Linked DNA regions of Oryzias latipes. The protein of the gene in region 1 binds, or shares a complex with, the protein of each later gene. Links are inferred from orthologs where the notes say so. Each region holds a gene or a part of one and is shown on either strand. Other genes may lie near its edges.

Region 1 (4,456 bases):
GTGTCAGAATTATTGACAGACTCTTCAGATTTTACTCAGAGAAGAGACATGACAATGTCATCACTTGATCAGCAGGAAGACTGTGTGAATTTTCTAATTCTACATAAATATTATATATACAAAAAGAAATACCTCCAGTCCATGCCGAAGAACTCTCAGAGTTGACTTGGGACCTCGTCCGCAGGCGACATACAGCTGAGGAGTGTCTTCATTTGCCAAATCAGCAATCTAACGAGCAGCATAAAGAAAAGAAAAGTTTCTATTGTTCTCTTTTAAACTCCATTTACCCCAAATCAGCTTTGAAAGTGCAAGAACTCACTTGACAGGACATGATGGGTGACATGTTCTCTTGTTCATCCACCAGCACCAGGTTTTTGAGCGGCCGAGGCTGGAAGAAGAAAGTGTCTCCCTCCTCCAACGGCATGGCAGAGGAAAACTCGGGCTCTTCATCGTCGTCACCCAAGTGAGCGATCTGATAAAGGTAACTGCAGGAAAAGGCAGCAGAGTGACGAGCGCTCAGTACACAGAACAAGCTAACCTAGACCAGCCTAAAGGAAGAGTGGTGAGCGAAACTTACTGGTTTCCAAACTCTGATGCCACAAACAGGAAGCCAGTCTTCAGGACACACATGGCTGTTGCTACAGGAATCGTGTCGAAATACTTTAGCCTGATTTCTGTGACCTGAAACAACAGTCATCACTCATGTGTGATTGTGTTCTAAACTAGAAAGCTTCCTCTGTAAAGCAGACGTGTAAGTGGGAACTGATGACAGTCATTGGCTACTGAAAATAACACAAAAAAGCCAAACGTCTTAAAACAAAATTTTAAAACTGCATTGCATTGTTAAATTGCCTTCATGATGGCTGTGGTACAGACGAGAGCAATCAACCGCTGATTGACTGCCCATGTGTCGAACTGTCCTTGAGCAAGACGGTGAGCCCCACATTGGTGGTTACAAGGGTCTTGTACGGCAGGAGAGCTGCCATCAATCAGTGTGTGAATGTGTGTGTGTGCATGGATGAATGGGAGTGTGTGAATGTGTGTGTGCATGGATGATGGGACTGGGACTGTAAAACGTTTTGGGACTTAATAAAGGCAGAAAGCTTATATATACCGTACTAATAGTGTTCCCTCGTTTACTGCAGGAGTTATATTCAAAGTAAATAACTTGCAATAGTTGAAATCCACAAAAAGGTGTTTTTTTTAGAATCTAGAATAATTTAGTTTTGAAGCTGTAAAACTCCTCAATACACACTTTATCCACTTTTTACAGACAGAAAAGAAAAATAAGTCCAGTATTATAGATTAAAAACAAAGATTTAAGCGCAACTGAGGGTTTATGTACTTTGAAAAACTGAATGTATTCTGTACAGAAAACACTTGATTGATAACTGTCTACAGCCAATCAGGATGCAGAACACCATGGGCTGTAAAAATAAAAGTTGCAAAACTGCAAGGCCATGAAAAATGAACCACTTTGTAGTTATGAACCACTGTATAGGACATTTTCATCATTCAGAGATGCAGCCTGTCCTTCCTGCATGTTCTCCATAGATCACGAACTAATAAGAAAAACGACTTCAGAGTGATGCCGTGCCTATGTGCCCTCATGAAGAACTTCACTCTCATCAATAAACGCATCTGAAAAACACGCCTTCACAAAAGTCAGGCGATACATTTTACAAAACTGGTGGTTGATATTGTTTGCCACCCTCTAAAAAATTAAAAGAATATCAGCCCTTATGTCTGCAACATTTTTCTTTTCCCAATTTTAATAAAGATCAGGCTACATTTAACAGCCAATCAGCTAGTTTCTGCATGCACGCACCATTTCTTCGTCCGTTTCCAGTGTGACCTTGAAGATGTCTCCCTGCTCCGTCTGAGCCAGGAAAAAGAACATAGACTTGGTCTTGTGGGTGGCTGAGCACACAAAGATCATGCCGCGCTCTGGGTCATCCAGGTCGTTCTGTGGGACGGACAGAAGAGAGCATGAGGGACGACAGACAGCAAAATGAAAATAAACATGCAGGCTGAACTGAAATGGCAGATAGAAAATAGAGTGAGTGACTTGCAAAAGGTTTCCACATAAACAAAAAAATCTGCTTCTATTTGTAGCTATGTGAAGTCGCTCTCAGACTGAAATATGTCCTTTTTTTTGTCTTTGAAAAATGTTGTTGGTTTTTTGCTTGGACTCACCCTGCGGCGGGGAATGGGACAGCGGATGTCTGGCTGGTCTCCAAAGTTCTTGTAGGTGATGTAGTTTTCAGAGCAGATCAGAACTCCACTAGGTCCATCTGAACCCCCCGGAACTACAGAGAAGAAGTTTCTTCTTCAGTCATGATAGGAAACAGGAAGGATTATTGATCCAAGACTGATTATTTTTGTGCCGATAAGATTCATATAGTCAAGAAATGTTATTCTTTTGCCAACATTTTATGGGAAGACAAGTCTGGTTTACCAGCCAAGCACGCACAAAACCAAGTGCAGATGATGGATTACCACGAGAACTGGGACTTCAAGAGAAAATTCACCTCTGAGCTGCCAGGGTGAAGTTACGGTTTCGGATGTGATGACAGCATCTCCCAAAGAAGCTCAACAGAAACAGTCTTTCTTACCACCTTACCTATCAGCGTTGTGACAGAACTTTTTTTTTTTTTCAAAATGGTTCAACTTTACTCATAAACGAAAAACAAACTGCGTCTTAATGAAAAACTTCATATGGATTTGAATAATTACCAGTGATGAGGAAATTTCCGTGTTCCTCCAAAGCCTCGCTGTATTTTCGCACCACGTGGTTAAGGCCGAGGTCCAGCTCATAGAAGGTGAGAGTCTGCTGGGTGTTTGCAGCAGCTTCTCCTGTTGGGTCGTTGTCCGCCTCCTGCAAAGAACGCAAGGTTATTTAGAGCCCGTTATTACATTTTAAAACCTGTTTGTTATGATCAACCTTTTGGACAAACTGAGATCAGAAATCAAATCTTTCTCCAGTAACAGTCAGAGAAGAGACATGGAAAATTCATCACACTCAAAACAGCCCAAGCCTTAGTTATATAAAAGAAAGAAAAAAACTATTTGATTTTTACACTTACTCACCTCATAATCCATTTCTAAGCAAGCAAACATGGGATTTTCAAAGCCAACGTCGACTCCAACAACATGGTAGACCAGAGTGTTGGCTTTATGAGCTTCCAGAGGAGAGGAGATGGTGAGTCTGGCTGCAGCGTCTCTGTTCAGAATATAAACCAGCTTCTGTTTCTCTATGGCCCCTGAGGAGCAGAGCAAAACACATCCAGAAACAGATTTACAATGTTAGAATAAAGTTAGCAAGAATTCCCTCTTTCCCTTGGGGGATTCTGACACTTGGACTGATGCTAACAGTTGTGACACATTGAGTTAAAAAAACCATTGCTAGGATCCTTCACAACTGCAGTTCATGCAATCTGACAACCAGGTAGTAACTGCTCCATAAGGATCAAGAGTGCCGGTTAACTCAGGATTTCACACAAACATCTGATATTAAACCAAGTCACCTAAAAGATACAGATGAGATACAGATTTTTCCGTTTCATCCCCTGCATGTTAAAAAAACGGACATTTAACTCTTAGAAGATTCAAAATGTAAACATATTAGCCTCCTTATTGTGACTTTTTCATAAATTGGTAAATTTTCCCTATTAAAAAAAGATAAATTGAAATTTCTTTAAAAACATTCTAAAATAATTGAAATTTAAGACAAAATTTATCAAAATATACAGAGAAGAAAAATGTCCTGCTCAAGGTTTTTTAGTCAGAATTAAAAAAAAAAACACTAGAAGGGGTTTTAATTATTTAGCAGTAAAAACAAATGGTAAATGGCGTATAATTATATAGCAGTTTCTACCCTCTTTCGAAGGCCCAAAGCGCTTTACAGTCTCAGTCCCATTCACCCATGCACACACGCATTCACACACTGATGGCGGCTCTGCTGCCGAACACTGGCGCGAACCTCCCACCTCCCAACCCAGGCGGGGTTCAGTGTCTTGCCCAAGGACACTTCGACACATGGCCGTGCAAGGCGGGAATCGAACCCGCAATCATACGATCATGGGTCGACCGCCCTACCGCTGCACCACGGCCGCGGGTAACAAAGCAAATTTCTAGAGGAATGTGTTTTTCAACTATGTTTGCAACCTTCTGTTCAGTTTCAATCGATCATTACAGAGAACCTGCTTCATTGAAAAAGTTGCACAAATTCATTTTAAATTAATTAAACAGCAGAGAGAAAACCAAAAATATCTCTCATTTCAATATCTCTCATTACTTCAAATGTATGAAATCTTCACTTTAATTGATCTTTTGCACTCTGTGTGTTTGCTACTCTTTGAAAATTACACATGGAACCATTTGAAATTGTGAAGAAGAGAATACTGAAAGAATGCGCATTTAAAGGACACGCTAAGAACTCTCACCTATCATGACA
Region 2 (4,636 bases), on another chromosome or scaffold:
ATGGTTTATTAAAAAATACATTTAAATTCCTTTTTTTTAAAACAAATTTTCAAATGCAATGCATCGTGGTCTATATTCACCGATCTAGTCTGCATCGAGACGTCTGGAAAATTTCTAGGCCACTGGATTTTGGAATTGTAGATTCAGACAGCACTAGAAAATGGTGAACGCACTATGTAGTGAGTAGTGAAGGAATTTGGACAACCGATGGGGCAATATATTTGCTCAAAGAAACGGGAATTAGGACAACAGTGAGGTCCTTCAGTCCAGGACGGCTGCGGGACAGAAGTACATGGAAAATAAAGGAGACACCAGAACACCAAAACTGAGGACACAAAAAACAAACCCAATAGGTGTGAATGATGGGCTATACCCCAAAAAAACACTTCAAAGCATCAGTCAGACACGGTGGTGGCAGTGTGATGGTGTGGGGCTAATTTATATCTGCAGGATTTGTTAGAAAGATCTCGACTAAAAGCAGAAAAGTGATTCAAAAGCACTAAATTGTGTGTCGGGGAGCAGTTACTTTGTCCAAAGAGATTTAGAAAGTTTTTCTAATCCAATAGATTTAAATAAAACAAAACTAGAGAAGAGAAAACGCCTATAGGTTTGTCATTTAGCACACGATTTGACAAATTTCAAGAGTCCTTCAAATATTGCAGCACCAAAGGAACCTCCGGTTTCCTGGGGTATTTTTGTCGTGTGTAAACAGTTGAAGTCTTGTCAGGAAGTGGGCGAAAACAGTTGCTTTTCAGGTTCCTCACCTGTCCCAGCAGAGCCATGAGACGGGATGGAGGCACCACGCTCACTTCTCCGGCCAACGCCTGAGCAATGGCCGCCCGGCGCTTCTCCTTACTGCTGCCGTCAGGATACGCCTGGATAGAGCGCACGGTCCAATCAGTCCCCGGTTACGGACAAACACGAACGCGCTCGCGTTCTTTGAATCTCGCAGCCTCACCTCTCGGGGATCAAAGTAGGAGCGGGCCAGCAGGTTCTCCAGGTGGATGTATCTCTCCGGTTGGGTCTGCTTCAGCATGATCATGGGGTCCGTCTGTCTGAGGAGGGAACGCGCCGCGCCGAGCTCTCTCAGCTCTATCAGCTCCAACACGACCTGAGGAAGGAGCAAGAGGAGACGTGAGAGGAGACCAGGTGAGTCCGAACAGACCTGGTTTCATGAAGTGGATGTTTGGTTCCATCTTAGTGCTCCTTTAGAAAGCAGGATGATATCGAACAGGACAAAGAACTCCACAAACACCAAGCTCACCTGCTCATAGAGGTCGATCAGGGTTTTATCTGGCAGCTTGAGGGACTGGATGGCCTGCAGGACGGTATCCCAGTGTCCGCTGTTGATGTCCGCTACAAAACTCTCGATGCTGTCCACCGTGTTCAGAGACACCGTGGTCTCCTCCTGCAGGGAGGCGAGGGTCCGGTGCAGATTGTTCTCCTTCAAGTACTGCATGATCAGACGGATCACGCTGGGGAAAAGACAAATGGCTGTTCAGTCCCCTCGAAACATCCAGAAACAAAAAAGCAGTTGCTGCCTTCAGGAACTTGCTTGTTCAATGACGCAATCGTCTAGGGATCAAACTTTTACTGCCTAAAACTCCATGAGGAGCAGCTTTTACAGCAGCAAAATATATCTTTGTATTTGAGCAGTTTTTACAAAAACGTCACTATTGGAGCTATGATTTGTTGTCTATGACAGACCATCATAAAAAAACTAAACTTATGAGGATAAAGTTATAAAAAAATTTACAAGAATTCAAGGAGTTTTTATTGCCATTGTCAACAATTGAACAAAGCAGTTTCACAGACTAGGATTTTGCTGCAGTGCCACATAAAACACTTAAAAATAAAAAAATAAACAACAGTAAGAAAAAAAATAACAATGGTCAGAAATATGGGGGGAAAAAGGTCAAAACTTTATGAGAACAAAATTGTAAGTCTATGATTTAACCAGCTCTACGTTGACAAGGTCAAAGTCAGTCATAAAAAAAGTTGTAATTTCATGTAAAGAAAAGGTGTAAATCAATAAAAAAAAAAGCAGATTCATTTAAATTATTCAGCGGTGTGATTTTTCACAATTTAACTACTTTGTTCTTTTAAAATGTTGACATTTTCTCACAATTTAACAACTATTCTCAAAGAATTTGGTAAATTTCTCACATGTTCTACGACATTATTCAACCAGTAATAAAATTTGAACTTTTTCCTGATCATTTTACACTTCTATCTTGTTTCATTTAAACTTTCTATCAATTTTACGCTACACAATTAGTGTAAATTTAGGACTTTATTGAATAGTTTTACGCAACTTCTTTCTTATAATTTATTTTTAGGAAAGTTGGAGTTTATTGTTAAACATTTGTTTATTTTTTATGGTGGCTCTAAAACTTAGTTGTCGTATGACAATAACACAAAATATTTAGACAATTTTACTATAAATGCAGCAGAAAGAAGAAATCTATTAATGAATGAAACTCTCAGACAAATACACAAATAAAACTTTGGTAACTTTTGATTTTGAACATTTATAACTACTGTATAAAAAATAAAGAATAAAAGTTCATGTCACTTGTCAGTGAAATAAATAATATTGATATTCAAATAAAGGAAAAAGTTCCATCTTAAACTCCCTAATGAACGAAACTAGGACTAATAATTAGCCGGACCGTCCATAGTCTGAATAGTTTTAGTTAACAGAAGACGTTTTTTATCATTTTAATTATAAAAGAAAATTATAAAAATCAAATTATACAAACATTTGTGCTGAATAGAGCCTAAATTAAACGTCATCTTCATCCTCGTCCGTGTTGTGCCGACCCTCGCATTAGCATCAAAGTTAGCATTAGCATCGTTAGCTTACGTCAAAAGTACTTTTATTTAATCGTCAAGTTGTAGTTCCTGCTGCCCAAAAGTAGCAATGATAAGTAACGCACATATAAGCACAGTCTGTGCCTTACTGGTGCATTTAGAGAACAAAAAAAATAGTTTAAATGGTCCACATTTACGGTACTTCACGAGGCTAACGACAGTTCACTTTAGTCAGGATGAAACAGGCCTCAGCTACGATACTGCTAGGACATATAGAATTATGAGCCGCTAAATTATGCCAATAATAATTAACACATTAGGAAATTTTAAACAAAATACTCACTCTGCAGATTCCACCTCTATAGACATGATGATTTATCTGAAACCTGCAGCCAGAAACACTCATGCAGCAAAGGAGGAGATACGGAAGTGATGGATGAGGCGACTGCACTTCAAAATAAAAGCCTGAATGGAATTTGTCTTGACAGCTCACAGACACTTCCGGTTCTGAGGCTGTTAGAATACTAAGGACTTTTAAATCCTCATGAACACATTTTAACTCTGTCCTTTAAAAAAACACCAACAGTGTTTAACAAATATCCAATCAAAAATCTTTACGTCTGCAAAATCCAGTCAATTCATATTTTTTATCCTAAATATGTTTGACATATGTATAGAAATACATCTATTCTTTTTGTCTTTATTTTTTTTGTTTGCCTATTCGTTTTCATTGCTTGAAAATAAACCAGTTGATTAGATAAACAACGTTTGATTCTACATTGCAAAAATCTGAACTGTCACACAAAAAGAAGAACATTTGATTTTAGTGCATTGTGTCTTTTTACATCTACCCAAATAAAAAATCACCTTTGGATTGAGCAGCAGAATTGAGGATAGACTCTCAGAGAAAAAGCCAAAAGTCTTGAGTTATCTCTTATTTTGTTGTTGGCTCTTGTTTGATTGATACATCTGCTGCAGTGGTCGGTTTGTGTTGCTCTTCTTTTGAGGTGAGCTCTAGCTCATCCACAAACCGAAAGCCAAGTTTCACACAGAAAGGAGTCAAAGATGGAGATGAACCCCAGAATGACAACTACTACAAATCCTAAGGTTTGCAGAACAACCCCTGAAAAGTGCTCACACTTCTCTAAACGCTTTCAGCAGTGAAGTGCCCTGGAACCTGGAATCAAAATAAAGTCTACGTTCAGAATGCTGCAGGGTAACATCTTTGGGCAGAGGCAGTATGATGGTATGGGGCTGCCTCATAGCAAAAAAGCAAGACTTTTTATCATCAGAGAAATTATTTTTAGCCTTTCAGCCATTACAAATGTTTTTAAAAATAATGAGGCTCCAGTTTGTTAAAATAACCTCTTCTTCTAGATTTAAATCCACCAAATAAGAGGGAACTACACACAGGGTCACCGCTGGTCTTGGAAATGCAGAATCATCATAAAGTAATATTTTTTAAAAAAAAGTGATAAAAGATTCATTACTTTTAATAAAAAAAATGTTACAACACATAAATACTAGCAAAACATTTCACTGCTCTTTGTGTGAAACATTAATTAACATTTATAAAACTGACAGTAAGGGTGAAGAGGAAACTCTTACAATAGGTTATAAAAAAGTGCAAAACCTAAAAAGTTTTGATGAAAGTAAATATTTAGAACAAAAAAAGACTTAAAAAGTTTAATTAATATTTTACCCAATTTTCAATGTTTGTTTGGTGTCAGTAAATATTTATGTCATATCAAATCACACTTTCAAATGGATTTCATTCCGATATTCCTCTTTACATTCACCATGCTTAGCTCTAATCCCCCAC
Region 3 (4,277 bases), on another chromosome or scaffold:
TGCGTTCATCCGTTAGCTCTCGGTCTTTTAATGAGACCGGGAAACTGTACACGAGATGTTAAATCTTTTCATGCAAATCGACACTTCGCTGCGGGGAAATTCACACTTAAAAATCACAGTTTTTAGGCTCTTACCTGGAGCCGTGCGACGGTGAGACAGTAAGATGCCATTTTGTTCACTGACAAAGATGTGAGATCGCCGTGACGTCACTGATGTATAAAAGCTTCTTTCTTCTTCTTTGGTTTTTCGTCCAGTGTCGTATTTACTGCTGCCCTCTGGTGGAAAAGCCTGGAAATACAGCTGAATTTTATTTCCTTTCTAAAATGTACATGTTTACATGGAATAAAATATTAAAGAAATTGTGTCAATATGTGACAAAATGTGTCATCAGACTCATAAGAAAAATATTGGTCGTCACATCAGCAGATCTAAAAGAAATAACGCATTGCTTGAATTAAATTTTCCATACATACAGGATATTTGCATCATGTTTTCAATTCAATGGACTAAAAGTTTAGGTTTGTAAAATGGTTGTTAATCATTCATATGTGCTTGATTAAACAAAATAAATATAGAAATATGATGGAAATGTAACATTTTTATAAATTAATGAACAAAGTTAAATAAGCTAGATTTTCTGTTCATCAAAAAAGTTGCGCAATAGTTAGAAAAAATTTTATTTCTTCAGCAAGGGTATGCATTGCACACCAAAGTACATTTTTACTCAAGAAAATTTTAATTTGATGAACTGCAATTAAAGTTCTCAAACAGGTAATTTCCTCCTCAAGCTGACATGTTTATTTATAAAGTAACTCTCTCATAATTTTATATATTGTTCTGGTTTTCAGAAAACATTTTAAAAAATGAATTTAAAACAGAAAATTTCATAAAAAGGTTTTAAAAATTGGAAATGTAGCCTATTTTAAAAGCAAAAAGGGTATTTATTTAAATCTAGTATTTATAAAAAAAATGTAAATAAATATGTTGGTAACATTTTTTATTTTTACATTTTCAAAACTTAAATTAATTACTTTCATTATCTTAAATATTATAACTCGTGTTTATGTTTTATTTTGTAATTTAAAAAATAAAATAGTACATGCTTCTGTCCAGTAGGTGTCAGTATTGGCCATTTAGCTGCTTTTAGCTTCCACCGACACGCAAGAAGAAGAGTCAGCGGAGCGTTGGGTTGTCGTTAGCTAACATGGCTAAACATCACCCAGATCTGATCTTTTGTAGAAAACAAGCGGGAGTTGGTAAGTTTTTACGTAATTATTTGTTTAGTGTCTGAAACCTTAAAGTTCGTCGCAGGTAATTTGACACATTCGTGGTTTACTTTCAAAGGTTTAGCGCTTTGTTAGCATGTATGGCATGGGGTTTCAATGAGACTGTTAGCATGGTCGTGTTAGCCTAGTTTTGTGTTTGGAGTCGACATGTCTAAATACCTAGTTTTTTCTATTTAATTATTTAAAATATTAATCCCAAACTGTGTAAATTACCTTATTAACTGTATCTGTTTTCATCACCAGCTATCGGGAGACTTTGCGAAAAATGTAAGTTTTTTTAATTGTTTAATGCTATCAAACGTTCAAAGAAAGAGTGCATGTAGATATCATTTTATAGGTAATATTTATAAATAACAAAAAAAAAAAAAACATATTATAAAGTGATTCTTTGCGTGCGGCCATCCCTGATTTGTTCTTCTTTTTTTTTCTGCACGGGCCTTTAATGTTTAATGTGAGAATTATTTTCAGAATAAAAGCCCTCTCTAGTCTAGGAAAAAATACTACAATCCAAAACTTTTCCATTTCTAGAATTTAAAACAAGAAGCTTTCAATGTGAATGGAGTCTAAACTCATTTGTACTTAGTACTTTAAGTGGGAACATAAAGCAGAGTGAAGAAAAAGTCCATTGAATTCCACAGAGGTTTTTTTTCCGTTTGTTGGAAACAAAACCGATACAGTTAGGTTTGGAGGTGTGAGGGGCTGTAAAGGTAGCGTGAGTGCACACAAACAGATGGGTGATGGGAAGGGGGGACGGGCATGCTCCACGCTACCAATCTGCCCACAACTCATAGGTGTATTTCTAATAAACTCCTGCCGCTTTGGAGAAACGACACAGCTTTTGGAAACGTTATGAAAATATTTCAATAGAGGATCAGAGTGGGACTTTAAGCACGGTGGAAGTTTATTGTGGTTTGGGCCTGCTTTCTGACTGAAGCATTTGAATTCCTGCCTCGAAAATCAGTACACTTTTTCTAGATAGAAAATCTAGAATGAAGCAGTCTGTAAAACTAAATAGGAAAGGATGCCGTGGAACATATAGATATGACATTAAAGATGTCTTAAATTCCCAGTCTGGAAGTCTGGTCAATAAGATGAGATTCGAAAAACAGAAGTTTGATAAAGTCCTTCATACAGATGCATCAAAGTTATTATGTCAGTCAAATATTGCTTTAAAAAAAAAAAACATCAACCCAGAGTTCTGAACTATTGTAAACAAACTGTGTTGGCCAATTCTTATCTGTTTATCCTCTTCTCTCTATTGTATCTCCTTCCTGTCTGCATATAGAGCAACACAGATGTTCTTGATCAAAAAACACGAACGATCAGCTGTTTTCAAGTCTTGAGTTTAGTTTTAAATTTTAAAGCGCTTCGAGTTTTAAAAAAAAAAAAGTTTAATTTGATGTATCTGTAAAGCTCTTTGCTGTCATTTCATCAAAGAAACTAGCAGCAGAAACTCAGGAAGTGAGATGCAGCGTCTGACCGTCTTCTTTTACAAAAATAACTTGTTTTAAAGTCTGACTTTAACAATGTTTAAAAGACGGCAGAGACCAACCAGACTGTCCCTGATCTGCTCCTTTCAGGCGATGGGAAGTGCGTCATCTGTGATTCGTACGTGAGGCCGTGCACGCTGGTGCGCATTTGTGACGAGTGTAACTACGGGTCCTATCAGGGGCGCTGCGTGATCTGCGGAGGCCCCGGAGTGTCTGATGCGTACTACTGCAAAGAGTGCACCATTCAGGAGAAAGATGTGAGTCTCTGGGCTCCAGGATCGGCCCTTCGCTGAAATGAACCAATGTTTTTACCCTTAATCTTTTTTTTGTGCAGCGGGACGGATGTCCGAAAATCGTGAACCTGGGCAGCTCCAAAACAGACCTGTTCTACGAGAGGAAGAAGTATGGCTTCAAGAAGAGGTGAAGAAGAAACCCCCCCGGCGTCTGTTAGGCTTTCCTTCTCGTTTCCAAACTTCCAAGAAAACTGTTTTGGTTTGTGAATAAAACTCACTTTTGTACTCCAGTCTCTGTGGCCGTTTGACTGAATAATCCAGTTTTAAAGCGTTTTTTTCTTATCGTTTATACATGGAGGCTCTTTTCTCTCATTCAACCTTGTTCCTGTTAGGTTCCAAGGAAGATCCAGGTCGTATAAATGCAGCCTAAACTTTTCTAGATGGAAGAAAAGTTTCGACATTTTCCTAAAGATCTGAGGAGCTTCAGATCTGGAAGTTTTGGTTTGTCTTTTCTCGTCACATTAACCTGAAATGGAGACAACAGGGAAGAAAAAAACTAAACATTTGAGAGTTCAGTTAAAAAATTAGGGATTTGAGTCCAACAAAATCTACATTTTACTGATCAAAAGTGAGGAAATGATGTATTTAAAGACGTATAATTCTGACTTCTCCCGTCTGAAAACAGGACAGCCTGATTCCTGGTTCTTCAGGATACAAATGAATTTATTTAAATCAGAAAAGTAATTGTAGATGAACTGCTTAAAGATTACTTAAAAGTTCAACTATGGAAAACCTTTAACTTTTTATTTAGCTTTAATAAAAAGGGACAAATTTAAAACAGTGGTGGGAGTATTATGGTTTGTATTAAACCTCAGACAATAAAATGGTCTAGAGATTAATTTATGCAGAAAAACTGAGGGCCAAAACATAAAACCTTTGAATATCAGCATTTTATTCAGAAGTTTTTATTACACATTTATGTACACTCAGACCCAGAAAACAAAATGTTTCTGTACAAAAACTAGGAAGAGAACAAAACTGACCTGTTCCAGAGAAGCAGAACTAGTTATGAAAAGTTAGCTTATTGTTGGAAACGCCTCAAAGAAAAGACGAACGAAGTTTGCTGTGAAAGCATCGATCTTTGCTTTGGACAGAGTAAAGTGTAAAACAGAGTGGAGACACGGATGGAAGCACAGCCTCAGAAAACGCAGCTTTCTTTCCCTTCAGCCATCGCCGTCCTCAGCTGCTCCGGTCTAAACTGCTGAGTC

The links. The genes of interacting proteins can lie anywhere in the genome.
Region 2: sf3b3 (region 1) and WD40 repeat-containing protein SMU1 share a complex: the UniProt entries of both Homo sapiens proteins name them as parts of the spliceosome B complex. The link is inferred for Oryzias latipes from reciprocal best matches to the Homo sapiens genes SF3B3 and SMU1.
Region 3: the proteins of sf3b3 (region 1) and phf5a are in contact, whole or in part, in a crystal structure (PDB 7B91), measured with the Homo sapiens proteins. The link is inferred for Oryzias latipes from reciprocal best matches to the Homo sapiens genes SF3B3 and PHF5A. Residues at the interface, in NP_036558.3 of Homo sapiens: Gly85, Arg86, Gln104, Glu105, Thr106, Phe107, Gly108, Lys109, Ser110, Leu140, Ile154, Ser155, Ser156, Pro157, Glu159, Ser1162; in NP_116147.1 of Homo sapiens: Gln14, Ala15, Gly16, Val17, Arg44, Asp47, Glu79, Asp81, Arg82, Asp83.

What each region holds. Positions count from the first base shown.
Region 1 is NC_019864.2:25,099,711-25,104,166, reverse strand, and holds part of sf3b3 (splicing factor 3B subunit 3), read right to left. Parts: coding exon 4,446-4,456; intron 3,264-4,445; coding exon 3,091-3,263; intron 2,879-3,090; coding exon 2,737-2,878; intron 2,310-2,736; coding exon 2,197-2,309; intron 1,967-2,196; coding exon 1,829-1,966; intron 682-1,828; coding exon 578-681; intron 486-577; coding exon 320-485; intron 229-319; coding exon 133-228; intron 1-132. UniProt on the Homo sapiens protein: Component of the 17S U2 SnRNP complex of the spliceosome, a large ribonucleoprotein complex that removes introns from transcribed pre-mRNAs.
Region 2 is NC_019868.2:28,087,857-28,092,492, reverse strand, and holds the start of WD40 repeat-containing protein SMU1, read right to left. Parts: upstream 3,279-4,636; 5' UTR 3,184-3,278; coding exon 3,158-3,183; intron 1,476-3,157; coding exon 1,265-1,475; intron 1,112-1,264; coding exon 959-1,111; intron 876-958; coding exon 765-875; intron 1-764. UniProt on the Homo sapiens protein: Involved in pre-mRNA splicing as a component of the spliceosome. Regulates alternative splicing of the HSPG2 pre-mRNA. Required for normal accumulation of IK.
Region 3 is NC_019877.2:2,093,722-2,097,998, reverse strand, and holds phf5a (PHD finger-like domain-containing protein 5A), read left to right. Parts: upstream 1-1,132; 5' UTR 1,133-1,204; coding exon 1,205-1,256; intron 1,257-1,529; coding exon 1,530-1,553; intron 1,554-2,866; coding exon 2,867-3,033; intron 3,034-3,110; coding exon 3,111-3,200; 3' UTR 3,201-3,299; downstream 3,300-4,277. Other genes in the region: aco2 (aconitate hydratase, mitochondrial), read right to left, coding at 135-170.